Linked DNA regions of Anolis sagrei. The protein of the gene in region 1 interacts with the protein of each later gene in a biochemical or structural test. Links are inferred from orthologs where the notes say so. Each region holds a gene or a part of one and is shown on either strand. Other genes may lie near its edges. The genes, in order: TNKS2 and LNPEP.

Region 1 (16,361 bases):
ACAAATGTTAACTTCAAGCCTGTCCTATCTCATGCCATAAAAACCATCCTCACTATTTAAAAGAAGGAAATAATCTACAATGCTGGAACTTTCATGAGTCAAGGTTCAGTTTGGAATATGCTGGAGTGAGGAATCTTCGGATTCCGTCAACAAAGCTTGGATTGGCCATATTAGAGCAGATAGTAAGTCATGGAAGATTCAGCAAGCATATTTTAAGTACTGCAACTTGATAAAATAACATAAAAACAGAATTTTTAAAAGCTATGCAATTCCATGACTTTTGCATGTTTTAACTTTTGCATTTGAAGATGGTCGGGAAGCTTCAGTAAGTGCAAAGATCCGCAGCCATACTGCTGACTGGGATGGATTGCAGGAAAATATACTACCTCCTCTTAAAGCAGCTCCATTGGTTGCCAATCTGCTTCTGGGCCCAATTCAAAGTGCAGGTTAACAGTTTTTGTGTGGTAACAGTTTTTGTTTTAAGTTGATAAGTTTTAATTATGTGATTTTAAAGTATATGTTATTTAATTTTTATATGTATTCAAGGTGTTGAATAATGCCTTTGTTGTGAGCTGCCTTGAGTCCCCTTCAGGGTGAGAAGGGTGGGATATAAATGCTGTAAATAAATAAAAATAAACCACCTCTCTTTCAAATTATTTCCAACTCTCTCACCAACTATCTCTCTCTTAAATCAAGTTACTTAACCTAGCAGAACTTGATTTAAAATATGTGAATTGACAATATGCTGTATACCTTTAACAGACAGTATCTACAGTGATCTAATAGTGATTTGCTGCACAGCATAACTAGTTCTTAGAAACTGTTCTGACCAAATTCAGAGGAGTTTACACACTTTAAATTCTATATTAGATAGCATTTGTTGCTGTTACATGCTAGGGATGCAATTCTTCATTAATTTTATACTCGACAGAAGAAACAAGTAATTACATGTATATCTTCCATGGGCAAAAATTTATACAAATACTGGGTTGTTGTAGGTTTTTCCGGGCTTTATGGCCATGTTCTAGAGGCATTTTCTCCTGACGTTTTGGCTGCATCTATGGCAAGCATCCTCAGAAATAGTGATGTCCTTCTGGAGGCAGGTTAAAGCCTTTTAATTTAGGCAGGCTATTAAATAAGGTTTTAAAGATCATGTCACGGACTGCTGTAATTTTATATGCTTTTAATGATGTTCAAAAGTGTTTTAATACTTGTATATGTTAAAGTTGCATTGCAATGCTTTTAGTTGTGAGCTGCTTTGCGTCTCCGTATGGAGAGAAAAAGGATATAAATAAACATAATAATAATAATAGCTCACAGGATTCCTTAGCATTGACCCAAGACTGTTCAAGTGGGGTCAAGCTGCATGCAGATGATGCCCAACTCTACTACTCCTTTCCACCTGATTCCATGGAAGCAGACCTTCCCCTGAACTGTTATCTGAGGACAGTGATGGACTGGATGAGGGTGAACAAGCTGAAATTCAATCCAGACAAGACCAAGGCACTGCTGGTCTCAAGGAAGATGGATCCAGGAACTGGATTACAACCTGAGCTGGATGGGGTTACACTTCACCTGAAATCTCAGGTGCGCAGTTTGAGGGTCCTCCTGGACTCCGCCTTAAACCTAGAGGCCCAGGTGGCAGTGGTGTCTAGGTTGGCCTTTGCATAATTAAAGCTTGTGTACCAAATGTGCCCATTCCTGGAGGAAGATGACCTAGCCACAGTAGTATGCGTAATGGTTACACCCAGACTGGACTATTGCAACGCGCTTTACATAGGTCTGCCTTTGAAAAGTGTTTGGAAACTACAGTTCATACAAAGACCTGCAGTCAGGCTGGTAATGGGGAGCTGGTATCAGGAAGTACACTACCCTGCTCCTGAGACAGCTTCACTGGCTGCCCATCCGTTTCCAGGCCCAATTCAAGGTGCTGGTTCTCACCTATAAAGTCTTATATGGCTTTGGTCCAGCCTACCAGGAACATCGTGTGTTCCTTTATGCTCCTGGTCAAGAGTTGAGGTCCAGCAAGAAGACCCTAATTGCTACTCGGCCCCATTCAAAAATGTGTTTACAGAAAATGATAGAAGGCTTATTCTCTGGGGCAGCTCCAGTACTGTGGAACTCCCTCTTGGAGGAACTAAGATCAGCCCCATCCCTCCTAAGCTTCAGGAAGGGGGTAAAGACCTTGCTTTTCAAGGCCTTTGAATAAGACACGTGCCATTGGAATGGGTTGAGTTTAAAAATGTATGACTATTAATTGAGGGGCTGATATGGGGGAGGTGGAAGTTGTATGTGTGTTTTTTAGTATGTTTTAACTTTTGCATTTGAAGATGGTCAAGAAGCTTCAATTAGTGCAAAGATTGCAGGAAACATATTACCCCTCTCTTAAAGTAGCTATGTTGGTTGCCAATCTGCTTCCGGGCCCAATTCAAAGTGCAGATTGAGCCCTATATGACAACAACAACAACAACCACAACTTTATTTATACTCCGCCACCATCTCCCCAAAGTGGACTCGGGGATGCTAACATGAGGTCAATCCCAAAAACAATACAGCAAAGTTAGACACAAAACAACAGAAAAATTACATTGCAACAAAATACATAAAGTAACAAAATAGAATAAACAGTGCAAAATAATATAATACAAATCAAATATAAAGAGCGGGCCAAATGCACGTGATAAAATGTTTAAACCCTGGGTGAGATAGGAATAGAAAAAGTGTATTTGTGCAGGAGGAGCCCAAGAAGGGGGAGTAGTGGGGCTTGACCTTTATAAAGGGGGGAAGTGCATCATGAGAACTGTAGATGGAAACAAATAAAATGGGTTGAATGGTCAGTCTCCAAAGGCACATCGGAAGAGCCAAGTTTTTAGATCTTGGCTATATGGTTCAGACCCTGCCTATTTACGTGATTGCATTACTCCTTATAAAGCAGTTCAGGCTCTAAGATCAACTGGGGAGGTCCTCCTCTCGATTCCACCTTCCTCACAAGCAAGGTTGGTAGGGATGAGGAAGAGGTAATCACCCCCCTCCGCGACTCTGAAATGCCCTCCCCAGGGAAATTAGACAAGCACCCAACCTCTTAACATTCAGGATGGAGTTGAAAACATGGCTATTTAAGCAGGCTTTTGATAAGGGCTAAAAGTATCAACCTCTTTATCGGACAGGACTTTAAATGGCTATGTATAATATATAATGCTGGATACCCTGATCATAGGAATTGGCTGGTTTAAAATGATGTTGATCTATATACTTGTGCGCCAGCTGCGCCCGTACCTTGGGAAGTCTGACTTGGCCATGGTAGTCCACCCTCTGGTTACATTCCGTATAGACTACAGCAACACACACTACATGGGGTTGCCTTCGAAGACTGTCCGGAAGTTTCAAATGGTCCAACGGACGGCAGCCAGATTGCTAACAGGAGCAGTCCACAGGGAACACACAACTTCCCTGCTGAGCCAGCTCCACTGGCTGCCAGTGTGCTATCAGGCACAATTCAAAGTGCTGGCTTTAGCCTATAAAGCCCTAAACAGTACTGGCCCAACTTACCTGTCCGAACGCATCTCCCCTTATGAACCCGCTAGGGCTTTAAGATTGTCACAAGTATGTCTGGCAGGGATGAGAGACAGGGCCTTCTCAGTGGTGGCCCCTTGGCTATGGAATGCCCTCCCTTCCCTTTTAACATTTCGAAAGAAGTTGAAGACTTGGCTGTTTGAGCAAGCGTTTGCAGACACAATATAACAGACATGGAGAGAAAAAAAACGGAACGACTCGACAATGCTATTAGATAACGCTTTTAAGTAAGAGACTCAACTTGATATGTTTTTATTGATATTGTTTTACTTGGTTTTAAACTTAAACGAACCGTTTTAAATTGTATCTTATGTCTTTGATACTGACTGTAAACCACCCTGAGTTGCCTGTGGGCTGAGAGGGGCAGTATATAAATGTAGTAAATAAATAAATATACATACTAGCTTGGGGACATTATTGCACAATATTGATACGTGATTTTTGTCTGTGTTATATCATTTACTGTGTTTGTTTGTTTTTGCTGTAAGTCGCCCAGAGCACCTTCGGGGAGATGGGACAGGCGCGATTGGTGGGGACGAGAGAGAGGGCCTTCTGGGTAGTGCCCCCCCCCCCCCGACTCTGGAACTCACTTCCCAAGCACATCAGGCATGCCCCAACTCTGGCAGTCTTTAGGAGGAGTCTGAAAACATGGCTTTTCCAGTGTGCCTTCCCAGAATAAGAAAAATTCTCAGCAATATGCCCTCAGAATGCACTTTACTACTGGTTTGGGATTGACTGTGTTCCCTCATCTCTCTTTGAAAACCCTATACGAGTTATATCCTACCTTGTTCGTTCCCAGCGTTTATTTTTTAATTTTTAAAACCATTACATTTGGCCCGGCCATAGGTTTTTAAATCCTTGTGTGTTACTATTTATTGGTTATTGTTTATATGTGATATATTAATTGTATGGTATTTATTGTTTTATTGCTCTTGTTATTGATGTACTGTTGGGCTTGGCCTCATGTAAGCCATTCCGAGTCCCTTGGGGAGATGGTGGCGGAGTATAAATAAAGATTATTATTATTATTATTATTATTATTATTATGGGACAGGATATAAAGAAAGTTTGATATTATTGTTACTTTATGTTTTATTGTTGATATATGATATGTGTTATATCATTTACTGTGTTTGTTTGTTTTTGCTGTAAGTTGCCCAGAGCCCCTTCGGGGAGATGGGACAGGATATAAAGAAAGTTTGATATTATTGTTACTTTATGTTTTATTGTTGATATTGTGTGTTTTATATGCTGTCAACCGCTGTGGGTCATGCCGTGGAGAAAGACGGGGCAGAAATATCTTAAAATAAATTAATAAATATTAATATTGCGGTGTGAAGCAAGCATGGGTAAACTTGATATGTGATTTTGTTTGTGTTATATAATTTACCCTAATCCATCTAAAACACAGACATGTGCCTTTCACCTTAAGAACAGACAAGCATCCCGAGCTCTGGGGATTACCTGGGAAGGAATCCCACTGGAGCATTGCAGAACACCCAAATACCTGGGAGTCACTTTGGACCGTGCTCTGACCTACAAGAAGCACTGCCTGAACATCAAGCAAAAAGTGGGCGCTAGAAACAACATTATACGAAAGCTGATTGGCACAACTTGGGTATCACAACCAGACACAGTGAAGACATCTGCCCTTGCGCTATGCTACTCTGCTGCTGAGTACGCTTGCCCAGTGTGGAACAGTAGATGTGGCTCTTAATGAGACATGTCGCATTATCACAGGGTGTCTGCGCCCCACACCAATGGAGAAATTACACTGCTTAGCTGGTATTGCACCACCTGACATCTGCCGGGAAGTAGCAGCCAATAGTGAAAGGACCAAGGCAGCGACATCTCCAGCTCACCCCTTGTTTGGGTATCAGCCAGCACGTCAACGACTTAAATCAAGACATAGTTTTCTTAGATCTACAGAGACACTTGCTGGAACACCTCAGCAAGCGAGAGTCCAAAAGTGGCAGGCCCAAACCCAGCACCTCAATCCATGGGTGATACCAGATGAGAGACTCCCCCCTGGGCACACAGAAGACTGGGTGACTTGGAAGGCACTGAACAGACTGCGCTCTGGCACCACGAGATGCAGAGCCAATCTTAAGAAATGGGGCTACAAAGTGGAATCCACGACATGCGAGTGTGGAGAAGAACAAACCACTGACCACCTGCTACAATGCACCCTGAGCCCTGCCACATGCACCATGGAGGACCTCCTTGCAGCAACATCAGAGGCACTCCAAGTGGCCAGATACTGGTCAAAGGACATTTAATCAACTACAAAGTTTGCAAAATCTGTGTTTTTTTTAAAACATCTGTTTGTTTGTTTCGTTCTGTTAGAAATGTAATACAATGGTATGGTTGCTGATGACACAATAAATAAATTTACTGTGTGTTTGTTTGTTTTTGCTGTAAGTCGCCCAGAGCCCCAGATGGGACAGGAAATAAAGAAAGTTTGAAATTATTGTTACTTTATGCTTTATTGTTGATATTGTGTGTTTTCTATGCTGTCAACCGCTGTGGGTCATGCCGTGGAGAAAAGCGGGGTAGAAATATCTTAAAATAAATTAATAAATATTAATATTGCGGTGTAATAAATATTTAATATTGGGTGAACTCTGGCCCTCCAGGTGTTTTGGACTTCAACTCCCACAATTCCTAACAGCCTCAGGCCCTTTCCTTTCCCCCCTCAGCCGAAAAGGAAAGGGCCTGAGGCTGTTAGGAATTGTGGGAGTTGAAGTCCAAAACACCTGGAGGGCCAGAGTTTGCTCATACCTGTCCAGGATTCACCTGAAGCCCAATTTCCTGAGGCCTCTAAAGAGAAGGTCCCCCTCCTTCCATCTTTCCCTCCCTCCTTCCGGTGCGGCCTTCCCTCGAAGAGGTAGCTTACCTGCAGCGAAGTGGAGGGGGCTGGACTTCCTGCCGGCCGTGTCCCTGCCGTTGACGTTCTCGGGCCTCACGAGCCGCTTCACGCGCTCCACGTCGCCGTTGCGGCAGGCCTCGAAGAGCTCGCGGGCAGGCTCCGAGAGGAGGGAGGAGGAGGAGGAAGAAGAGACGCCGCCGAAGCAGGACGCCGAGGAGGGGAGCAGCGACTCCGCCCCGCCCGCGCCCCTCCGCCCAGCCATGCCTTTTCCGCCTCCTCCTCCCGAGGCTCCCACTCACACCCGGAGGCCCGCCATAGAAAGAAGCGGCCTCTGAGGGGGGCGCGAAGAAAAGAAGCCTCCGCCTCAGCGGCCCCGGTGGGAGGGGAAGCGGAACAGCCAGGGTGCGCGCGCACAGGGAAGAGGGGGGAGGAGGGAGAGAGGACTCGCAGGGAACAGGGTTAGGGAGAGCACGGCGCATGCGCGTGCTCTCCCCGGTGGGAGGGGAAGCGGAGCATCCAGGGTGCGCGCGCATGGGGGAAGGTGAAGCGAGAGAAGGGAGAAGTGCGGGGAAAACACAGTTAAAGCGAGCACAGCGCATGCGCAAGAGACTCCTTTCCAGAGTGGGTCAGGTATTTGAGGAAGGAGGTCATAGAATCAAAGAGTTGCAAGAGACCTCATGGGCCGTCCAGTCCAACCCCCTGCCAAGAAGCAGGAATATTGCATTCAAATCACCCCTGACAGATGGCCATCCAGCCTCTGTTTAAAAGCTTCCAAAGAAGGAGCCTCCACCACACTCCGGGGCAGAGAGTTCCACTGCTGAACGGCTCTCACAGTCAAGAAGTTCTTCCTCATGTTCAGATGGCATCTCCTTTCTTGTAGTTTGAAGCCATTGTTTCGCCTCCTAGTCTCCAGGGAAGCAGAAAATGAGCTTGCTCCCTCCTCCCTGTGGCTTCCTCTGACATATTTATACATGGCTGTCATATCTCCTCTCAGGTCGTGCCATTCATAGAGATAGTCCAATGTAATTGGCATGACAGATGTGTATTGATCAACCCACTAACCCTGTTGACAATAGAAGACAAGATATTCCAATTTAATGGATATGTTATGGTCTGGGTTGTTGTAGGTTTTTTCCGGCTATATGGCCATGTTCTAGAAGCATTCTCTCCTGACGTCAATCAGGGACATCTAATCACCTCTCAGCAGGGGATTGCTCCAGGCACTGCCAGGCTATCAAATGCTAATCGGGGTGGTCAGTTGAAACGATATGGTAGATCTCTTTATTGCTGAGTCCACTGACCATATCAACAATAGAAGACAAGATATTCCAATTTAATTGACACGATATGAGAGATCTCTTTATTGATCCGTCCACTGACCATATTGACAATAGAAAAGATATTCCAATTTGATTGACATGATCTATAGATCTGTGTATTGATTACTCCACTGACAATAAGAGACAAAAAAATACACAGACAAATAGACACTAATAACTATCCTAAAACTTCTGTGATAGTTAACTAAAATAAATAAAAATGCAATAAAACTTGATTAAACAATACATTTGGTAAAATGGGATTAAATTAAAACATGAAAGCAGGGAGAGTAGAGAGACAAGTGTAAAAGAATCAGAATTTAGATACGTTGATCACCAAGAGAAGGCACCCCATTTTGGGCCCTTCCACACAGCCCTATATCCCAGAATATCAAGGCAGAAAATCCCACATTATCTGAGTGTGATCTCTGATAACCCAGTTCAAAGCAGATATTGTGGGATTTTCTGCCTTGATATTCTGGGATATAGGGCTGTATGGAAGGGCTCTTTGTGCGATAAAGGCCCCTTTCTACACTCCCATATAAATCCAGATTATATTCTTTGAACTGGATTATGAAATTGATATGGCAGTGTAGACTCTTATAATCCAGTTCAAAGCAAATAATGTGGATTATCTGATTTAATAATCTGAATTATATGGCAGTGTAGAATGGGCCTAAGGGCTCTTTCACAATCCCAGAATAGCAAATCAGAAAATACCACAATATCGGATTTGAACTAGATTATAAGAGTCCATACTCAGATGATGTAGGATTTTCTGCCTTGATATTCTGGGATATAGGGCTGTGTGGAAGGGCCCTAAGTGTAGGTTCTCCCCAGAAAGAAAATAGGACAGCTTAGTAATTGGATCCCAGTTGGTTGTTCTAACCAAGAGTGATTATAAACATTGGGATCTCACCTTGGCATATAGACAACATTCAAACAAAATATTGTGAACATACCAAGTCATATTGTGAACATACCAAATATCTGTAAATGGTAGAGTTTAGAAAAAACAAAATGTGTTTAACTGAGCGAAGCAAAATGTCCAGTCTTGGGTTGGTTGTGTTAGCTGGCTTGTTGCGGACGCCAGTATACCTCTATATAGTAACTACCTTAGGATGGAGTAGAAGATTGGAGAGCATTTCATTGCCAGATTGATTTAGCTTCCGGTGGGGGCATGTGTATCTCTCCACATATGATTGAGTTGCAACTTTCATCATCCACCACTGGACGTATGAGATAGGGCCACAGTTCTTGAATTATGATTAACTGGTGCAGAGAAGGTTTCAAGTTCAAAGAAATGTATAATGGTTAATCCTCCATTTTTGAAAATGTCAATTTAAATCACATAGGGATTGTATAAGAAGACTGAGAAATGACATTTTAAAATACCTGAAGAGATATCATGTAGAAGATGGAGCAAGCTTGTTATTTTTCCTATTACAGAGACAATTGACACATCCTTATCACCACTTAATGCAGTCAGAAGGTAACTTGACATCATGGTGTTTAGATGATGCACGACGTCAGCACTTGCAGCAAGGCGCATTTTGGGCTTTAAACTGGGATAAGCAAAGTTGGGGTGGTTTGCAATAGAACACACAATACACATCAGTGTGCCTGAAAGTAAAACACATCACATGGTGAAACCGATTAACGAATGGAGTCTGTGGTGATCCACATATATGCCTTGCAGCGAGTGTATGTGGGAATAAAACCCAGCCCCCAGCCCCATGGCCAAGAAGCAGCAGATCTGTATAGATAATTCCAGATAGGAAACAATCAGAGCCAGCTAACACCTCCCAACAAAGGCAGGAAGCAGGCAGGCTTAGAAGCTGAAAGGCTATTTAATACTAAACAAGGTGGCCAATTGCAACATTCATACTTGCCTCAAGCAGACAAGAGTTCTTTCTGCCACCCCAGACATTCCACTTGTCTGGTTTCCAACAGACCTCATAACCTCTGAGGATGCTTGCGATAGATGTGGGCAAAACGTCAGGAGAGAATGCTTCTGGAACATGGCCATACAGCCTGGAAAACTCACAGCAACCCAAGTTGCAGATGCTTGGTTCCTTGAACCAATTGGAGGTCAGCCTCTGCAGTATATATAAATGCCATCCAGGCCTTTAACTGGTCCCAGGACTTCACATGTAATCATCTGCACAGTGAAATACCTTTCTTCTTTACCAGTTTCGCACTGACCTAAATTGTCAGTGTAGCTGTGACCCAGGACATGAACCAGTTGATTCAGGCTGCAAGAAAAGAGGTTCAGCCTAAGGTTAAGGAAGAATATCGTGATGGCAAGAGCTGGGCAGCAGCAGAATACAATGTCCAAGATGGAATTGGGTACTTTTTCATTGGAATTTTTTTAAAGAATGTGGGTGGCCATTGGTCAGGATGGTTTTTTCTTTGTGTCCTTACTCGGTAAGGATTATTCTGACATTTGGCATCTCTTCCAATGCTATAATTTCTTATTCATAAGTCAAGCAGAGTTGCTGTCCCTCCCACTTTCTCTAAATGACCATGTTTTGTTTTTCACACTACAAAGCGAGAAGAAAAGGTGAACATTTTAGTTTCCTTTTGGATGGTCAAGCAATGGAGAATGTAATTTGTAATTATACAACTAGTGCATTACAAATCCAGCAGCAGTGCCCTGCCAAGAGTAACCTATGATAGACTCCCCAGGTGGTGTTCCACCTACAGCTAGAAATTCTTCCTTTTCTGCAATTTCTAGGTTGCTAATTTGTCCAAACACCCACACATCATTCAGAGGTCTCAGGCAATCAACCCTAGTCATGGAGTTTCTTTTGTCAAATCCATGATTCCCACTGGGCAACAATTTAGATAAAAACATAATGATAAGTCCATTCACACTGATGAGATGGCTAAGCACAATACTAAATGATCATTATGACCACTTATTTTTTTTTCTTATAGAGTTCTGACAGTTTCCAGAGTGTTTAGCAAACAGCACCACTATTATGTAATACATTGCCATGAAGACAGATTCATGCAGCCTGATTGTATGCCACTAGTCTCACCAAACTTTCATTTTTCTGGGCTAATATGCATGCATAGCAGTTATATCCTATACAGTTGAATATGGAAGATATGGAAGTAAGCACATGTATAGTTCATGAAAAACGATGAACCCCTCTTAAAGAAATGGGTGTTCCACAACATTTGATTGTACCATATAGTATAGAACAGGGCCTGGAGACAGCTGAATTCCAGGAAAGAACACCAATACAATTAGAAACAAGATATCATAATATAAACAAGAACTGACTGATAATTAATTCAAATCATGTGCCCCATAGAGAACAATGATGCAATCAGCTGGTTAATTTAATCTGATGGAAAGCTGTCGGAGTTAAGATCTAACTCTGAGGTTACATCACCTTGGGGGAGTAGACTGACTGCGTCTATAAATGAATTATACTGAGCATGTGTTATCTCATTAAACCTCTGAAATGATATAAAACAAACCCAAAGGAGCTAGAAGTCACAGTTTACTGGGCTTATTTAGCCTGCTAAACAGTGGGACTACTGCAACACACTCTACATGGGGTTGCCTCTGAAGACAGCCCGGTAGTCCAACGCTTGGCAATTAGTCCAACGCTTGGCAGTCAGGCTGCTCACAGGAGTGAGGTCCAGGGAGTGCACAACTCCTTTGTTACACCAGTTCCACTGGCTGCCAATCAGTTTCCGAGCACAATTCAAAGTGCTGGTTTTAACCTACAAAACTCTACATGGTTCTGGCCTCGTTTACCTGTCCAAACGTATCTTTTCCTATAAACCATCAAGGACTTTAAGATCTTCCGGAGAGGCCCTGCTCTCGGTCCCACCACCTTCACAATCGTGTTTGGTGGGGACGAGAGACAGGGACTTCTCTGTGCTGGCCCCCGGCTATGGAACTTCCTCCCCAATGAAGTTAGTTCTGCCCCCTCCCTCCTGTCTTTCAGGAAGCAGCTAAAATCCTGGCTTTGGAATCAGGTATTCGCAGATAGATAGATGATCCAGTATAGACTAAGAGTTATTTGACCACAATGTTTGGATTGAATTGGATGATGTTTTTAACTTGATGAATTGTCTTTTATATGTATTTTAGAACTTATTTAGTTTTATGACATTTATTGTATAGCATTGAATTTTGCTGTTAGCCATTCTGAGTCCCTCCACAGAGGTAGAGAAGAACGGGATATAAAAGTTCTAAAGAAATAAATAAATATTCTGCAGTCCAGACCCAGAAATAGTGGCTTTATTCCACACGCAAAGATTACTGCAGATGCAGACTGTGGCCAGGAAATCAGAAGACTCTTACTTCTTGGGAGGAGAGCAATGTCCAATCTCGATAAAATAGTAAAGAGTAGAGACATTAGACTGGCAACAAAGATCCGCCTAGTCAAAGCCATGGTATTCCCTGTAGTAACCTACGGATGTGAGAGCTGGACCTTAGAGAAGGCTGAGCGAAGAAAGATCGATGCTTTTGAGCTGTGGTGTTGGAGGAAAGTTCTGAGAGTGCCTCGGACTGCGAGAAGATCCAACCAGTCCATCCTCCAGGAAATAAAGCCCGACTGGTCACTGGAGGGAAGGATACTAGAGACAAAGTTGAAGTACTTTGGCCACATCATGAGGAGACAGGAAAGCCTAGAGAAGACAATTATGCTGGGAAAAGTGGAAGGAAAAAGGAAGAGGGGCCGACCAAGGGCAAGATGGATGGATGGCATCCTTGAAGTGACTGGACTGACCTTGAAGGAGCTGGGGGTGGTGACGGCCAACAGGGAGCTCTGGCGTGGGCTGGTCCATGAGGTCACGAAGAGTCGGAGACGACGGAACGAATGAACAACAACATCCCACACTTTCCAAGAAGGCGCGGAATAAATCCACTAACAATTTATTTTGCTACAAACCAGGGTTTTCCTGGTTTGTAGCGAATTAATACGGGTCTGTCCAGATCTTTGTCTGGACAGCTCCTCCTTTATTGCGAGAGTTCCTACAATAAAGGCCCTGTCTGGATGGGTCCTGAGTCCACATTCAGATAATGTGGGATTTTCTGCCTTGATATCATGCAACAAAGGGCTGTGTGGAAGGGCCCTCTGGCACCTTCCACACAGCTGAATAAAATCCCACATTATCTGCTTTGAACTGAAATATATGGTAGCGTGAACTCAGGGCCCTTCTACACAGCTCTATATCCTAGAATAACAAGGTAGAAAATCCCACAATATCTGCTTTGAACTGGGTTATCTGAGGACCCTTCCACACAGCCCTGTCTGGGAACGGATGGGGAGTCCTTCACACCTGAGTTTTACCACGATTACATCAATACAGATATACCTCAGTTAACAAAGTAGATGTGTCCCTGATCATTACTTTAAAAAAAAATCAGTAAACAGAGTCAGAAATAACATGGGGAGAAAAAGTACAAATCTCAAAAAAACAAAAAAGAAGAGCAGTTCAACATTTGTCTGCAAGCTTATTATTCAAAGAGAGCCATTAAAGTCAAGACTCTCTTGCTCGATCTTTTTTGTTTGTTTGTTTATTGGAAACTGAAGACAATTCAGCTGTAATGAGTTTCCAGTACGCAATATTTTTATTTCTTCTACTGCTCGTTTTGATTTGTAACTCTTTTTAGTCTCAATATTGGTGTTGTTCCTAGGACTGGTTGCAGAACAGCTTACAAAAGAATGTGTAGTCTTGTTTGTATTGCCATGATTATATTGTATTGGTTTTATCCTTATGCTGCAAGCCACTCTGAGAACAACAAAAGAAGAGTGACAGATTAAATATCGTGTTGTCGTAAAGAACTGACTTTTTGTCAAACCAAAGTACTTTGTATGCATCACTAGAGACAAAGCAATATCTCAACAATAGAAGCAAAAATGTAAGGAAAGAATTCTGGACTGTTTCAAATTATTGAATAGTGGGTTTGGGGAGCTCAAACTGTGGATGGCAAAAAGCCCTTGTGGGATAATTCATTACCGCTGAGTTTCCTTACATTGAGGGTTGTCACATGCTGAAATATTCAATGCTTCATGATGCACATTATTATATATAAACATCATTATATAGCTAAAAAGGTAAAGGTAGTCCCCTGACATTAAGTCCAGTCATGTCTGACTCTGGGGTGTGGTGCTCATCTCCATTTCTAAGCCAAAGAGCCAGCGTTGTCCGTAGACACCTCCAAGGTCATATGGCCGGCATGACTGCATGGAGCACCGTTACCTTCCCGCCGGAGCGGTACCTATTGATCTACTCACATTTGCATGTTTTCGAACTGCTAGGTTGGCAGAAGCTAGGGCTGACAGCGGAAGCTCACGCCGCTCCCCGGAATCGAACCTGCGACCTTTCGATCAACAAGCTCAGCAGCTCAGTGCTTTAACCCACTGCACCACCGGGGGCTCCACATTATATAGCTGGCCCTTCAAATTTGCACAGGGCACCCACAAAAATGAAAAACTTGGGATAACAGGTTTAGAAATGTCTAGATCAGTGATTCTCAACCTTCCTAATGCCGTGACCCCTTAATACAGTTACTCATGTTATGGTGACCCCAAACAATAATACTGTTTTCATTGCTACTTGATATCTGTCATTTTACTACTGTTATAAGTTGTAAATATCCAATATGCAGGATGTACTTTCATTCACTGGACCAAATTGAGCACAAATACCATATACACCCAAATGTGGATGATAGTGGGGTTGGGCGAGGATTGAGTTTGTAATTTGGGAGCTGTAGTTGCTGGGATTTATAGTTCACTTATAATCAAAGAGCATTCTGAACTCCACCAGCAATGAATTTGAACCAAACTTGACACACAGAGCTCCCACGACCAACAGAAAACGCTGGAAGGGCATTGACCTTGAGATTGGGAGTTGCAGTTCACCTATATCCAGAGGAGCACTGTGGATTCACGCAATGATGGATCTGGACCAAACTTGGCACAAATACTCAATATGCCCAAACGTGAACACTGGTGGAGTCTGGGAAAAATAGACCTTGACATTTGAGAGTTGTAGTTGCAGGGATTTATAGTTCACCTACAATCAAAGAGCATTCTGAACTCGACTAACAATACAATTGGGTCAAACTTCCTACGCAGAATCCACATGGCCAACAGAAAATACTGTGTTTTCTGATGTTCTTTGGTGACCCTTTTGACACCCCCTCATGATCCCCTCAGGGGTCCCGACCCCCAGGTTGAGAAACACTGGTCTAGATCCTCGATCATGAGTCAAAGTTGACCGTAGAACCACACTGGAGATTCCTTAAATGGTGATCTCTGTAGGAATCTCTAGTTCCTACTAGCTCTATGGTCAACATCTGCTGCACTTACCCCTAAAATCCGACATACCACCTGTAGAGATGTGTTCATTATAAAGTGTTATTTATAATGTGTTTAAACTGTATTTATAATGTTTATTATAGAGTGTTTAATGTACTGTGTTGAATCTGTATTTATGTATTACATTTATTGCCATGGCCTAGCTGTGAGGGATAGGTTGCCATGGTGACAAGACAAAGCCTCAGAGGAGGTGGGCGGAGCTTAAGGAGGAAAAGGTTTGAAAGTGGCAGTTAAGCTCCAGTCCGGTGGAAGAGACCCGGGGAAGAGGAGAGCCAGTTAGGGCTCTGTTGTGAAGCTGTGAGAATTCAGCAGTTCTTAGAATTTGTGAATATTTCTTCAGCAAGAGAGCTGAAGGTGTTACCTTGTTAGATTGCTTAGGTTAAAGAATCTAACAGAGGGGGTTTTAAGGATCGCCAGTAAGGAAAGACTGGTGATCAGTGGTTTGTTCCGAGTATAGGGCAAACAGTGTGGACATTCACAATAAGGGACTCTGAAATAGTATAAGCACTTCACTAAAGAAGGAGTTTGTAGATTTGTAACATTCAGAAGCCTGAAAGTATCTCAAACCAGCCATTTTGTAACATCAAGCCTTGTGCCAAGTTCAAACTCTCAAAACTGCAACAATTACGTTCTGTTAACAATAAAACTTGTTCTCTTTTTATTTCAAACCTGCCTCCTCCATTGCTGTTATGCTTGGTGCATTCCACACTACCAAAATCACCTCACAACCCAACTAAAGATAAACAGAGACATAAACCAGCGTCTCTAAACATATTGGTGGCAGCTTAATGGATATTTAAAAGAAGGTTCCTCACAGAATATTGGTGGCATTAAAGAAGATTAATGCTTCCTCACATAATTTTTGGTGGCATCTAGTGAGATTAGCGCTGCTTCTTTACATAATTTTTGGTTGATAAGCGGTGGGATTAACGCTTCGTTACACCACCTATCACATCAGCACTTTTAATCTGTACCCATTACATTTGGTCCGGCCCCAGTTTTATTGTATTTTGGTGTATTGTTTTGTTTTTATTGTTTTGATATTGCTATAATTGTTTTTGATTTGCTTTAAGTTGTGTATTTATTATGCTATGTTTTTGAGGCCTTGGCCTTTGTAAGCCGCATCGAGTCCTTCGGGAGATGCTAGCGGGGTACAAATAAAGATAATAATAATAATAATAATAATAATAATAAGGGGACAATTAAATTGTATTGGAGAACCTAGATATTGGGTTGCTGTGAGTT
Region 2 (15,715 bases), on another chromosome or scaffold:
TTGGACTACTCTTTCTATCTGTATGTGCACCAGCATGGCCTACAATCAAAGATAGTAAGACTTACAGTTTTGGGAGGGTATCAGTTGACAGAGACTGGGCTAGAATTGGGGGGAGGGAGCTTATACTAAATCAGAATAATCTTACATCAGCTGGCAATTATGTTTCCTATCTATTAAAAGGTAAAGGTTTCCCTTGACATTAAGTCTAGTCGTGTCTGACTCTGGGGGATGGTGCTCATCTCCATTTCTAAGCTGAAGAGCCGACGTTGTCCATTGACGTCTCCGAGGTCACGCGGCCGGTGTGACTGCATGGAGCACCATTACCTTCCCACCGAGGCAGTACCTATCGGTCTACTCACATTTGCATGTTTTTGAACTTGGCAGAAGCTGGGACTAACAACAGGAGCTCACCCGCTTCCTAGATTTTGAACCGCTGACTTTTTGGTCAGTACGTTCAGCAACTCAGCAGTTTAACCCACTGCACCACTGGGGGCTCCTTCCTATCTATTAGTTTAATGACACCCCCTTGGCTTCCAGCTCTAAAAAGGTTAAAATTTGGGTTAGATAAATGACAGCTAGAAATGAAGGTATTCTTCACGCAATATAGTCCACCCCTCCACATTTGTAAGTTTAACTTTTGTGGATGTAATCATTCATAGATTTGGTTATATTTCTAGATTTTCTATTCATGCTGAAAAATCAGGACATTCCTAGAGAGGTATTCTCTCAAGTAAAAAAAATAGCAGGGTTTTAACCTTTGAGTACATTTCTCTAGGAATTTCTGGATCTAGAAATTTAATCAAATTTAAATCCAACTGCAGAATGAATGCAGTTTGACACCACTTGTCATGTCTCAATGTTGTGGACTCATGGGAGAGAGAGTTTGGTGAGGAATCAACACTCTTTGGCAGTGGAGGCTAAAGTCCTTGTCAAACTACAACTCCCATGATGCCATAGCACGGAGCTATAGTAGCTACGGTGGTGTCAATGTGCATGAATTCTACAGTGTAAAATGCACACAAGTCTCAGCACAAGATCAATGTATGATTCATATACACTTTACACCAGGCATGGGCAAACTTTGACTATCCAGGTGTTTTAGACTTCAACTCCCACCATTTCTATCAGCATAGGAATTGTGGGAGTTGAAGTCCAAAACACTTGAAGGGCTAAAGTTCACCCATGCCAACTTTGGCCCTCCAGGTGTTTTGGACTTCAACTCCCACAATTCCTAACAGCCTACCAGCTGTTAGGAATTGTGGGAGTTGAAGTCCAAAACACCTGGAGAGCCAAGGTTTGCCCATGCCTGCTTTACACAAATAGCCTGGAAGTTTATACACAGTATTTTAAAATATTTTGTGCATGCAACCACATAGGTGCACAAACCTGGCTTCATGCACAAATACAGATATTGTATTCTAAAAATAGAAAATAAAATCCTAGGAAATCTGACCCCAAGCATTCAGATATGAGTTATCCAACCTGTACTATTATGAACAGTAAACAAAATTACAGAAACAAACAAACTGAAGGTGCTGGAAGAGTTTGTGTCACTTTGGGGTCAGAGGCATGGCTGCTGTGTTGACAGGACATACAGCCCTCCTTGTTCCATTCTCAGGGGGCTCCTGGGCTCTTCCCTTGGCCCTCTCCAACTCTCCTGAAAGACCTGGCCTTCAAGATACAACCTTCCCTTCCGAAAAAGCACCCTCTGGGGCCTTTCCCCTCCCCTCCAACCCAAGCAGAAGCAGAAGCCTTAGCAGCATCTCAGGCGAAACAGAAAGAGGCCGGCTTCCGCCACACGCCAAACTTTCCCTCCATCGTGCCTTGTGCAAAACCACGGAGGGTGGGTTTTACCCCAAGAAGGAGGGAAGGGCAATTGGGGGGGGGGGGGTGAGAGAAAGAGGGAGGAAGTATAAGAAAAGGGGGGGGGGAGAATGAGATATAAGAGAGGAGAATGAGAGATAGAGGGGGGAAAGAGAGTACGAGAGAAAGAAAAAGGGGGAGAAAGGGAGTGTGAGATATATGAGAGAGGAGGGAGAAAGACAGGGAGTATGAGAGCAGGGGGGAAGAGATGAGAGGAGGAGTGATGGGGAGAGTGTAGGAGAAAAAGAGAGAGAAAGAAAGGGTGTATGAGATATATGAGAGAGGAGGGAGAAAGACGGAGAATGAGATAAGAGGAAGAGAGAAAGAGAAGGAGTTGGAGAGACAGAGGGGGAATGAGAAAGGGGGAGGAAGAAAGAGAGGGAGTATTTATTTATTTATTTATTTATTATTTATTTATTTATTTATTTGGTATGCTTGTATACCGCTAATATCTCAGCCTGTGCGGCGACTCATTGCGGTTTACAACATGTTAAAATATACAATTCATTTAAGCATATAAAATTAAAATAAAAATACATACAAAAAACATACACAGTATTGGGCCACCAATACAGATCGGGACATCTCATAGTTAAAATCATCATCCAATTCGTTATCTTGATTGCTAATCCATGGTCAGATAAAACATCACATCGAAGGTCAATTGAAGACTTGCTCAAACATCCAGGTTTTTAGTTTTTTCCTAAATGCCATTAGCGAGGTGGCTGATCTTAATTCAGTAGGGAGGGCATTCCAAAGCCGGGGGGCCACCACAGAAAAGGCCCTATCTCTCGTTCCCACGAGCCGCACCTGTGAAGCAGGTGGGATAGAGAGAAGGGCTTCTCCTGAAGATCTAAGGGTCCTGGTGGGCTGATAGGCCGAGATACGTTCGGATAGGTATGTAGGGCCAGAACCGTTTAGGGCTTTAAAGGTCAAAACCAGCACTTTGAATTGGGCTCGGTAGCTAATCGGTAGCCAGTGAAGCTGGTACAGCAGAGGAGTTGTGTGCTCCCTGCGTCCAGCCCCTGTTAATACCATGGCTGCCGCCCGTTGGACTAGTTGGAGCTTCCGGGCCGTCTTCAAAGGCAACCCCACGTAGAGAGCGTTGCAGTAATCAAGACGGGATGTAACCAGAGCGTGGACTACCGTGGCCAAGTCAGACTTCCCAAGGTACGGTCGCAGTTGGCGCACGAGTTTTAACTGTGCGAATGCTCCCCTGGTCACCGCCGAAACCTGGGGCTCCAGGCTCAGCGATGAGTCCAGGATCACACCCAAACTGCGAACCTGTGTCTTCAGGGGGAGTGCGACCCCGTCTAACACAGGCTGTAACCCTATACCCTGTTCGGCCTTGCGACTGACCAGGAGCACCTCTGTCTTGTCTGGATTCAATTTCAATTTGTTCGCCCCCATCCAGACCGTCACAGCGGCCAAGCACCGGTTCAGGACTTCGACAGCCTCCTTAGTAGCAGGTGGGAAGGAGTGACAGAGTTGGACATCATCTGCGTACAGATGACACCGCACTCCGAAACTCCGGATGATCTCACCCAGCGGCTTCATGTAGATGTTAAACAACATGGGGGACAGTATTGAACCCTGAGGAACCCCACAAGACAAAGGTTGTGGGGTAGAGCAGGAGTCCCCCAGTGACACCTTCTGAGACCGACCCTCGAGGAATGACCGGAGCCACTGCAAAACAGTACCTCCGAGACCCATTCCCGCGAGGCGTCCCAGAAGGATACCGTGGTCGACGGTATCGAAGGCCGCTGAGAGGTCGAGTAGCACCAACAGGGACACACTCCCCCTGTCGAGCTCCCGACGGAGATCATCCACTAAGGCGACCAAGGCTGTCTCGGTACCATGTCCCGGCCTAAAGCCAGACTGTGCCGGATCTAGATAATCCGTGTCTACCAAGAATGCCTGGAGTTGTGAGGCCACCACACGTTCCATGACTTTGCCCAAAAAGGGAAGATTGGAAACAGGCCGATAGTTTACCAATTGAGTGGGGTCCAGTGATGGCTTCTTCAACAGCGGTTTTATCACAGCTTGCTTTAAGCTGGCTGGAAAAATGCCTTCCCGAAGGGAGGCATTAACCACCACCTTAACCCACTCGGCCAATCCCCCTCTGGCCTCCTTTAGAAGCCAGGATGGGCAGGGGTCTAGGATGCATGTGGTGGCTCTCATCCCTCCAAGCACCTTGTCCACATCCTCGGTTTGAACCAATTGAAATGAATCCATCAAAATCGGACAAGCAGATGCTCGTGTTACATCCTCAGAGACTGCCGTTAATGCGGCGTCCAGTCCAGAGCGGATCAAAGCGACTTTGTCTGCAAAGAACCGAGCAAAAGCTTCACAGCGAGCAGCCGAGTCATCAGGGCACCCATCCTGAATGGTGGGTTTTAAAAGGCCTCTGACAACTCGGAACAGTTCAGCCGGACGGTTCTTTGCAGACGCAATAGTGGCCGCGAAGAAAGTTTTCTTAGCGGCTCTTATTGCCGCGGCATATGACCTTAAAAAGGCCACAAACCGTGTTCGGTTTGACTCGCTCGGATCCGAACGCCACACGCTCTCTAGTTCCCTCTTCTTTCGCTTCAACACCGCCAGCTCCTCAGTAAACCAAGGGGCCGGTTTAGATCGGCTACTTGAGAGGGGACGTTCTGGAGCGATCGTGTCTATTGCCCTGGTCATCTCCCCATTCCAGAGAGCGACCAGGGCATCAACAGGATCACCAACCGCGGTGGCGGGAAAATCCCCAAGAGCCATCAGGAATCCTTCCGGATCCATAAGCCTCCTGGGGCGGACCAATTTAATAGGTCCTCCACCTCTGCGGAGGTTAAGGGGCGCAGTAAGTCTAAAGCTGACCAGGAAGTGGTCGGTCCATGGCAACGGAGAGATGGATAACTCCTCAACACCGCCTCCTTCCTCCCATCCCTGACAGAAAACCAAGTCCAATGTATGTCCAGCACTGTGGGTGGGGCCAGATACTTGTTGGGACAGACCCATGGTCGCCATGGTAGACATGAAGTCCTGAGCCGCTCCCGTTAGGGCAGCCTCAGCATGGACATTGAAGTCCCCCAGCACAAGCAGCCGCTGGGACTCCAATGCCAGGTCCGAGACTACCCCCGCTAGCTCAGGTAGGGAGTATGAGATATATGAGAGAGGAGGAAGAAAGAAGAAAACGAGAAGTAGAGAGGGAAAGAGAAGGGGGAGGAAGAAAGCATGAGATATATGAGAGAAGAGGGAGAATGAGAGTAGGAGGAAGAGAGAAAGATGTAAGAGAAGGGGGAAAGAGAAAGGAGAGAGATAAAGGGGAAAGAGTGAAAGGGAGAGGAAAAAAGGGAGTATGAGATATATGAGAGAGGAGGGAGAATGAGAGGTCTCATACTCTCTCTCTTTCTTCCCCCTTACTATCTTATTCAGTGTGTGTCCCCCCCCCTCTCCTTCTCTTTCCTTCCTCCATCTCTCATGCTCATCCTTCCTCCTTCTCTCATGCTTCTTCTTTCTTCCCTCTTTCCCTCTCATTCTGTCTTTCCCCCTCTATTTCTCCTTCTCCTCTATCCCTCTTCTTATATCTCTCATTCTCCCATACTCCCTCTCTTTCTTACCCCTTACTCTCTTATTCAGTGTTCCTCCTCTCCTTCTCCTCTCTGTATCCCTCTTCTTATATCTCCCTTTCTCTCTTCCTTCTCTCATACTCCCTCTCTCTTTTCCCTCCTCTCGCATATCTCATACTCCCTCTCTTTCTTCCTCCTCTCTTATCTCTCATTATCTTCCTTCCTCCATCTCTCATATATATATGAGAGGAAGTAGAAAGATAGAAAGAGGAGTTTGGGAAATAGAGGGGGGAAAAGAAAGAATGAGAGAGAAGGGAGGAGGAAGAAAGAGAGGGAGTATGAGATATATGAGAGGAGGGAAAGAGAGGGGGAGTATGAGAGGAGAAAGAGAGAGTGAGAGATATAAGAAGAGGGATACAGAGAAGGAGAGGGGAACACTGAATAAGAGAGTAAGAAAGAGAGGGAGTATGAGAGAATGAGAGATATAAGAAGAGGGATAGAGAGAGGAGAAGGAGAGATAGAGGGGGAAAGGCAGAATGAGAGAGAAAGGGGGAAGAAAGAAGGAGCATGAGAGAAGAAGGAAGAGAATGAGAGATGGAGGAAGGAAAAGAAAGATAAGAGAGGAGGGAGAAAGAGAATGAAGGACAATGAGATAAGAGGGGGAGAGAAAGTGACAAGAGGGGGAAGGAAGGGAGAGGAGGAAGGCAGAAAGGGGGAGAAAGAGATTGAGAGGGGGAAGAGAGACAGTGAGAGAAAAAGAGGCAGTAGAGAGAGACTGAAAACGAGGCGAGAGGGCGAACGAAGAAGGGAAGGAGAGATGGGAGAAAGGGAGAGAGAGGCCCCCTCCCCTCCTGACCTTCGGGCTGCCCAGAGCCATGCGCGGCCTTGAGGCTGCCTCAAGTTTCGCAGCCTGGGCAAGGCGAGGGCCTCTCCTGAAGGCGGCCTGTGCTGCTAAAGATAACACCAACCACAGTAAGGCCTGGCAGGCGCAACGAGCCTGGTTGCGAGGGGGGAACAACCCGCCCGGCGACTGGGAGGGCGCGCTAGGCCCGAGGCGGGAGGCCGCCCTACTCACCGCCGCTGGGGAAGCGCTCCATGTTGCTGCGGAGGGCCGCGGAAGCCCGAACGGGGAGGAAGAGGCTCACGAAAACACACGCAGGGACCGGGAGGGAGGGGAGCAAGCCGGCTCCTCCTCACTCGCCTTTCCCCTCCTCCTGCTGCATGTCTCCGCCCGCAGCGAGGCACTAATTCTACGACGTAGAGCAGGCCCAGGCAAACTTAGGCCCTCCCTCCAGGTGTTTTGGACTTCAACTCCCACAATTCCTAACAGCCTCAGGGCCATGACATTTTCTTAAAACTCAAAAGGTGTCCTCAAAACCCCAGCAATGTGCAACTTGTTGGATTTCATCCCTGGACTACACAAGCCTTTGTGTCATCAAGTTTCCAGTCCTCAATGAGTAGCTAGACTAGAGACAGGGCTAAGCGCAGGGATTCCTTTTCCCACATTCCTACGCATGTTTCCTAAAGGGTTTTGTCTTTATCTCTACTGCTAGCCAGTCTCCGCCCCCTTTTGATGACATACTAATGGAATTCTGTGAGGGAACTTCCTTTCAAGTTTAAATTGCCCCAGGAAGGCCATGTGGTGTCCACTATGTTACTGCTGCTTTTCTTTCTCCCTGTGAGGACGCATTTTGCCTCTTTGTAGGCAAAATGTAGCTACATGGACTTTTTTTAACCTTCTTTGTTGTTGTTTATTCATTCCGTCACTTCCGACTCTTCGTGACCTCATGGACCAGCCCACACCAGAGCTCCCTGTCGGCCATCACCACCCCCAGCTCCTTCAAGGTCAATCCAGTCACTTCAAGGATACCATCCATCCATCTTGCCCTTGGTCGACCCCTCTTCCTTTTTCCTTCTATTTTCCCCAGCATCATTCTCTTCACCAAGCTTTCCTGTCTTCTCATTATATGGCCAAAGTATTTCATCGTTGCCTCTAATATCCTTCCCCCCAATGAGCAGTCAGGCTTTATTTCCTGAAGTATGGACTGGTTGGATCTTCTCGCAGTCCAAGGCACTCTCAGGACTTTCCTCCAACACCACAGTTCAAAAGCATCTATCTTCCTTTGCTCAGCCTTCCCTATGGTCCAGCTCTCACATCCATAGGTGACTATGGAGAATACCATTGCTTTAACTATGCGGATCTTCATTGCCAGTGTGATGTCTTTACTCTTCACAATTTTATCAAGATTGGTCATTGCTCTCCTCCCAAAAAGTAAACGTCTTCCGACTTCCTAGCTGCAGTCTGTATCTGCATTAATTTTTGCACCTAGAAATACAAAGTCTGTTATGCCGCCATGTTTTCTCCCTCTTTACCTTCTTTAGAAGATGAGATTTATTTATTTATTTATTTATATTATTTATTTATTTACTTTATTTGTATACCGCTCTTCTCAGCCCTTAGGCGACTCAGAGCGGTTTACAACAGTTTAGATATACAGGATACAAAATCATTATGCATTTAAAAAAACAAAAGCATCACAAGTCATTAACATCATTAACATCAGCATCAAAACACCAATACATCAATTTAGCGAGATAGTTAGCTCCAAAACTTTTCTATCAACAATGTATTTTTTACTTTAATAAATCTTTTGAACCTCAAGATTGCCTCTGCAACCCTCAGCCATCCTAAAGATTAAAAGGCTGTTCCTGCTCACCACACATAAGTTTTGCTAGTTATGGAGTTCACTCTTGTTATTCTGCTATATTTTGGTTGAATTACCCTAACTGAGGGTTATTTTTGAGCCTAACAGCTCAGGTTCCCCAACAGTAACTCTTAGAGCATGTCTAAACAGACCAAAAGAAAGCCTTGTAGGCGCTGAAATCCAGGTGCATGACATTCTTGATATTTTGCTTGAAATGAGACTCTTTGGGCTTTAATCCAGTTAAAAAATTACATTTCCTTTTACTATACAGTTTTCTAGGAAAATCGGGATATATCTATATATATATATATATATATAGATATATATCTCCAGATATATCCAATATATATAAATATTGGCATGTTGCCAATTTTTTAAAATATTATTATTTATATCCCATTTAAACTTTAAATAACTCTTTAAAGTTCTTCAGTTGAATTTTTATGTAAGTCGAAATAGGTACAAAATTTGGCTTGTTGTGCAAACAAGAATTGGTGAGAAAGCTTCAGACACCTTTCCCCCATGTCTCTCTTTAAAGATCTTCAGTTGAACTTGTAAGTAAGTCAGAATAGGTACAAAATTTGGCTTGTTGTGGAAACAAGGATTGCTGAGAAAGCCTCAGCGGAGACACCTTTTCCCCATCATAACTCTTTCAAGAGCGAATTTCCCTTCTGAGGGGAAGATTTCTCTCACTTCCTGTTGTCTCACCTCCATTCTTAACTATGAGTCATTTGTAAGTCGGGGTTTGTAACTCGGGGAAGAGGGATAGAGAGAGGATAGCCTGTATTCAAGTCGTCGTTGTGTGCTATCAAGTCATTTCCAACTTATAGTGACCCTAAGGTGAACCTGTCACAGGGTTTTCTTGGCGACATTTGCTCAGAGAGGATTTGCCTTTGCCTTCCTCTGAGGCTGAGAGAGTGTGATTTGCCCAGAGATACATAGTAAGTTTCCATGTCCAAGCAGGGATTTGACCATGTTCTCCAGAATCAAAGTCCAATCAATGCTCAAACTATGACACCACACCAGTTTCCTATTTGCAAATATATTTACCAGTTACCTATCTATTCAAGTCAGCCTGTTGCAAACTATGAGAACCCATGCAGCTCTTCCTTGTGATCCAGTATTTGAAATACATAAGCACGATTTTATATAAACATATATTACTGCATTTTTGTTGCTTTGTTGCATTCATAAGCAAGAAATAAGCTGTAATAAAAGAATTTGTAATTAGCAAATAAAACCACTCATTTCCCCTTTTTGCCATCCTTTGAGGTATCCACGTTCTATTTTTTGAAACCTCCTAAACTGCACAAAGTTATTTGCATCTTATTTGTATTCCGAAAACAAATAAAAGTACGTAAATCTGCAAAAACTTTCTGACTTATTAAACAGGCCAGCTCTTTAGAAATGAAAGTCTTTTGTTTGTTGGAAGACTTTGATTTCTAAATGAAAGGAAAAACACTAAATTTCAGGTATTTTATCCCATGATATTTCCAGTCTCTTGTTTCTCTAAATGAAAACATAATACTATTATGAGGAAATTACATTCAATTCTAGAAATATTTTTTAATTAGATTTAGAAAAGGAATGTTAAACTTTAGAAATTTTGATTGAAGTACAAAACCAAAGTCGTAGACTTGCTTTTAGGAAGAGCAGCTTGCTGACTCATGCTTATTTCTCTTTAAGCTCAAGTTTCACACATAATTTCTGGTCGCTTCTGGGTGCTTTTCTTCTCAAGAACAGACAAGCACCTTGAGCTCTGAGGATTACCTGGGAAGGAATCCCACCGGAGCATTGCAGCACACCCAAATACCTGGGAGTTATCCTGGACCATTCTCTGACCTACAAGAAGCACTGTCTGAATATCAAGCAAAAAGTGGGCGCTAGAAACAATATCTTACGAAAGTTGACTGGCACAACCTGGGGATACCAGATACAGTGAAGACATCTACCCTTCAGCTTTGCTACTCTGTTGCTGAGTATACATGCCCAGTGTGGAACACATCTCACCATGCTAAAACAGTGGATGTGGCTCTTAATGAGACATCATGCATTATCATGGGGTGTCTGCACCCTAAATCACTGGAGAAATTTCAGTTTAGCCAGTATTGCACCACCTGACATCCACTGGGAAGTAGCAACCAATAGTGAAATGACCAAGGCAATGACATCTCCAGCCCATCCCTTGTTCGGATATCAGCCAGCACACCAACTACTTGAATCAAGAAAAAGTTTTCTAAGATCTACAAAGACACTTGCTGGAATATCTCAGCAAGCAAGAGTACAAAAGTGGCAGGCTAAAACCCAGAACCTCAATCAATGGCTGATACCAAATGAGAGACTCCCTCCTGGGCACACAGAAAACTAAGCGACTTGGAAGGTGCTGAACAGACTGCATTCTGGCACCACGAGATGCAGAGCCAATATTAAGAAATGGGGCTACAAAGTGGAGTCCACGATATGCGAGTGTGGAGAAGAGCAAACCACAGGCCACTTGTCACATGCACAATGGAGGACCTTCTTATAGCAACACCAGAGGCATTCCAAGTGGCCAGCTAATGGTAAAAGGACATTTAATAGAATGCCAAGTTTTCAAACTTTGGGGAGTTTTTTTCTAAAAAAAAAAAATACAACTGTTTGGTTCGCTCCTGATACAATAGACAGACAGATAGGAAGTATTCTGTATTGACATGTGTAATACACTGCTCTGCAGGCTGGATTTTCTTCCACTGGCATGTAATTTCTGGTCACAGTTGTGGTCCATGAACCTAATTAGGGTATACAGGCAGTCCTCAAGTTACAAACAAGATAGGTTCTGTAGGTTTGTTCTTAAGCTGAATTTGTATGTAAGTCAGAACAGGTACTTTTTAAAGTGTGATTCCAGCCAAAAATATATATGTTTTAGTTTTGGATAGCATAAGGAAGGGCTAACACCCCGTGGTGTGTTTTGCTGTCTGTGCCCCTGTTCAGATTTCTCCTCACTTTGTGTCCCTGTGATAATTGGATTTTGAAACATTTGGCTTTTTTGTGGAAATAAGGATTGGTGACCAAGCTTCAGTGGATATACCTTTTAACTCTTTCAGGAGTGAATTTCCCTTCCGAGCAGTAGATTTCTCACACTTCCTGTTGTCCCACCTTCATTCTTAACAATGAGTCATTTGTACGCCGTATGTTTGTAGCTCAGGGACTATCTGTACTGTTAAAATTTCGCAGCATTTTGGCTAATAGTCCACAACAGTCCATCTACACATGTATTTTAAGCCTGAAAATGGACAATGCATTTAGATGGCACTTGATAGAACCAGAGGCATTTCATCTTATCTACAGACCACATATCATTAGTCTTAAGTGAATGACATTGGCTTCCAGTTAGTTCCAAGCTGAGTTCTGGTTCTAATACGGAAAGCTATCAATGGCCTGGGGTCAAGAAACTATCTCCTCCCAAAAGAACCTATCCAAAATCTGAGATTTTTGACAGGAGCCCTGTTGATGGCAGGACAGGACTTCCTCTGTAGCAGCATCTTGGGTTCACAGCTCCTACTCAAAGGAAGTCATGCTGGGTGCTCAGTTCCCTTTTGAGTTTCGAGAAGGTAGCTGAAACTTATTACTCTGCATTTCCTTCAAATCATAAGAGACTGTTGGACTGCTTTAACAGTCTGTGGTTTAAAAACTATTTTAAGAAGTTGTTTTATTTGGAATGTTTTTATGTGTTTCTTTAAAGTTAAAAATGTTTTCCCTACATCTGTCACATGTTGCCTCAGGGGCTCTGGAAGACTGACAGGTATTTCACACAATTAATTTAAAATACATGATCTAAGTAGGATCTTTCAAACTGGCAGCCTCCAGATGTGTTGGATCCACTGCACTTTCATTATCCACTGCACTCTCATTATTACACTAAAACAGATTGTCTACTCCAAACCATTTGGGTGATTGAAAGTAAAGTGGGTGCCATTGTAGTTTCGTTAGTCAGTTAATAATATTAATCCTTACTTCCCTTATCCACAAGTAAGAAATTGGTGGGTGAGGCCACACTGCAGCTGTTTTTTTTTTCTCTCCAGTCAAAATTAAGTCATATCATTAGCAGCACTGCTTTTCTATTTTTCTTTTTAAAAACCAGCAACAACTGCAACCACCCCCATAATAACAATTTTATTTATACTCCACCTTTTCTACACAAATGGGTGCAAGTCATCTGAGGAAAAAGGAAAAACACAGAAAAGAGAGCAAGGAGAGATGAAAAGAAGAGAAAGATTGGTGCACTTTGTAAATAATTACACATGAATCTCATTAAAGTAGCTTATCAGTTAAAGATAGGCCTTGTGTGTGAGTTGAGGATTAATAATCTAATCATCACTTCCACAAGAGACGAGAATGAGTGGCTTTGGAAAGATCATGAAAGACTTTGAAAGATGTTTCAACATCAAAAGAAAAAATATTACCATAATACATAATAACATATGTGCCTATGTGAACTTGCAGAATTTTAATATAATTAGCTTCAGTGTTTCTGATCTGATTTCTAGTTCCATCTTGTTGGAAATAGCGTTGCCAGATCCTGGGGAATTGACCTTCTCAGTGGTGGCATCATAGATATATAATACTCTCCTGACAAGACAGGTGGCTGTCATACCCTTCTTCATAGATGGGAATAACAGCTCTAAGTCATGTCTTGATCCACACTGGACATTGCAGAAATCACGGGCAAGATAATATATTTTTCCCTTTCTGTTGCTTTGGTTTTATTGCAATTTTATGGAGGCATTAAAGATTTGGCAACATATTAGATAAATGTGTACTTAATGGTAAGTTGTTTGTTAACAGCATGCCATCTTTTAGCCAAGTTTGAAGGGGCCTACTGGGTTTTTAAAATAACTGTTATTTCTTTTTATTAAGACATTGTCTGTTTCAGTAAACTACTCTTATTTTATTAAATCTAGAAATGTGAACAATCAGTAAAAAAAAAAAAAAGAAAGAAAGTATGGCGTTTAGAACCCATTCTATACCCCTGCTGCTATTTTTAATTGTAGTTTTCAATACTTTCAAGTCACCAGTCATGGATACAGATACATTCTATGAATGGTAACGGTAAAAAAAGAGACATAGTCACAACTCTGTGTGATAAGAGAAGTTAAAAAGCAAACACTGCCAAGGACAAAAAGGAAAAGAAAAAAAAGAAATTGGGTTCACTAAGGCAACAGTGAATGCAATAGATAAGCCATTTCACAGTTTCCCTTGTTTGCTCTACAAAACAAACAAGCAGAGATATAATATTTTAGGTAGGATTCAAACCTTTTACTGCAGGAACAGAAAAATGTCCACATCTACACGGGGGCGGCAATTATGGGGTAAATACTACCTTCTTTGCTGTCCCATCATGAGTTGGGCTTTACTGAGTTCTTAACCTTGATGAAGTGGGTCTGAGAACAGCTTTTGCGAAAGAAAAGCTACATATGAACAAGTAGAATAGCATGCATGGAACCTTGGATTCCAGCCATAATGAAGTCACACTAGCTGTTATTGAGAAGAAAATCAAATTATGTGACAATAATTAGGTCTTACAGAAACAGAAGCTCCTAAAAATCATCAAATGAGAAAGATGTTGGAAAATCAGACATTCTCTTCCCAATCCTCGTACTGATGTTAGAGGAATTAGGGAGTTCAGATAATATAGATCCCAGTGCAAGATTATACACATTCTGAATTCCTTGGCTAAGATTTTGCCATTTGTTCTTCTACCTCTTACAATGCATTATTATAAATACTTTGTGGATCTGTATCAAATTCCTCTTTGCCCTTTTTCCCCTCCTCAACTGGAGAAGATGGTGAGTTGAAAGCTCACTGAAGCACTGCCTTTGACCTAATCTTTTCATTAGTTAGGATGTAAGGATGTCAGGTGCATGTGTACAATCTAAAAGCAATTACTAAGTCTTTTAATTTGAAATATGATACCGCCTGCTTTTTTCCCCTCACAAGTCTCAGCCAGGAAATTCTTTTTCATGCTGTGGATGGTTGAATCTCAGGAGTCAACGTTCTATATTGTCAGATTCTGCATCCAGGGATTCAAACATCCAGCTTGGAAAAAATTTAAAACAAAAAAACCTTGATCTTGCCATTTATATCAGAGAACTTGAGCCCCATGGATTTTGGTATCCTAGTCCTAGAACCCATTCCCAGTGGGTTCATTTTACTATGCCATTATATATAGTAGAAACTGAGCACCTATGGATTTTGGTATGCAAACAGGGTCTTGTGACCAAACCCCAGTGGATACTAAATACCCAAGATTGAGGCCTGTAATTCTGCTAAACTCTGATGAGGGATATTGTTTCCTAATAGAGCCATATTTTTGGCTAACACACCTCATCACACTAGAAAATGAATCTATTTTAAATCCAGTTGCTTCCTCCTGCAGAATTCTGGGGTTTGTAGTTTAGGGAGGAGCCTTTAACAGCCTCATTAAACTACAAACCCCAGATTTCTGCAGGAGGCAGAAACCAGATTTAAAGTGGATTCATTCTGTAGTGTGATGAAGGATAAACTCTTTTCCTCACTTAAGACTATTGCAGAAATATCTCAGCACCTTAACTTCAGTTCAGTGCATCTTCTGCTATCTTTCATAATTAATGCACAAAAGCTTGTGATACAGGCCTTCCTTTGAATGAAAGGGACATGGATTGGAAACCAATCATACAGGGGACATTGGTGCAATTGGTCCTTCATGTTGTTTGTGCTATGACTCATTCATAGTGAGTTGTTATGTGAGACTAAGAGTTTTTCTTCAAGCATACATATGTGTCCTTGGCTGTGAATCCCCATAAGACTTATCTGCTAGTTCCTTTCTCACAGCCATCAACTATTCTAGGAGGACAGCCCCTTTCCTGTTTTCAGTTTTGAAAGATGATTGTTGATAGTTCGAATCAAACGTAATGGCTCCTTGAGGAGATCCAGAAGCCCTGGCTGAGATCCCAGGAAAGTCAACCACCCACCAGGAGGAGAATTATCATTTGGGATCTGTAGCACTGGAGTGAATTTTGGAGGGCTCATTTTGACAGAACCCATAGTCACAATCACAAGGGATGTTCAGAAGTGCAGACAGCTGTGCTGATCTTTGTCAACAAATACATTTTGGCAATTTTCTATTTCCACCAGAAATTGATAATTTTGTAAAGCGAATTGCTCAAGCCATCTGCAAGTAATTTCCCTGACAAGAAGATTGTTCATATAGGTATAGTCTTCAGCTACTGTGAGGCTTTCAGCTAATTTTAGGCAAAAATATGAAGTTGAAAGGGGATACATGATGTCTTTGACTCTACTAATTGAAACATCCTAGCAGTTGTAAGATCATACGAGCCATGGCTTTATTATACTACAACTTCATGTTCTTGCTTTGCTATTATGAAAAAGTGAAGATTGGCTGCTTCCAGCTTCCTTGGGGAGAGAAACAGCGGGGTGCACATTATTATTATTATTATTATTATTATTATTATTATTATTATTAACCAGCTGAAAGCATCTGACCACCTGCTGTTTCAATTGTTATCTAGGATGTAGTTCCATTCTACCAGGACACTTGAAGAGGCCTATCCATCTGAT

The links.
Region 2: the proteins of TNKS2 (region 1) and LNPEP form a complex in vitro, tested with the Homo sapiens proteins (4 studies listed by BioGRID and IntAct, with this or other methods). The link is inferred for Anolis sagrei from reciprocal best matches to the Homo sapiens genes TNKS2 and LNPEP.

The regions. Positions count from the first base shown.
Region 1 is NC_090023.1:185,262,011-185,278,371, reverse strand, and holds the start of TNKS2 (poly [ADP-ribose] polymerase tankyrase-2), read right to left. Parts: upstream 6,907-16,361; 5' UTR 6,705-6,906; coding exon 6,470-6,704; intron 1-6,469. UniProt on the Homo sapiens protein: Poly-ADP-ribosyltransferase involved in various processes such as Wnt signaling pathway, telomere length and vesicle trafficking.
Region 2 is NC_090022.1:252,782,906-252,798,620, forward strand, and holds the start of LNPEP (leucyl-cystinyl aminopeptidase), read right to left. Parts: upstream 6,647-15,715; 5' UTR 6,512-6,646; coding exon 6,490-6,511; intron 1-6,489. UniProt on the Homo sapiens protein: Release of an N-terminal amino acid, cleaves before cysteine, leucine as well as other amino acids. Degrades peptide hormones such as oxytocin, vasopressin and angiotensin III, and plays a role in maintaining homeostasis during pregnancy.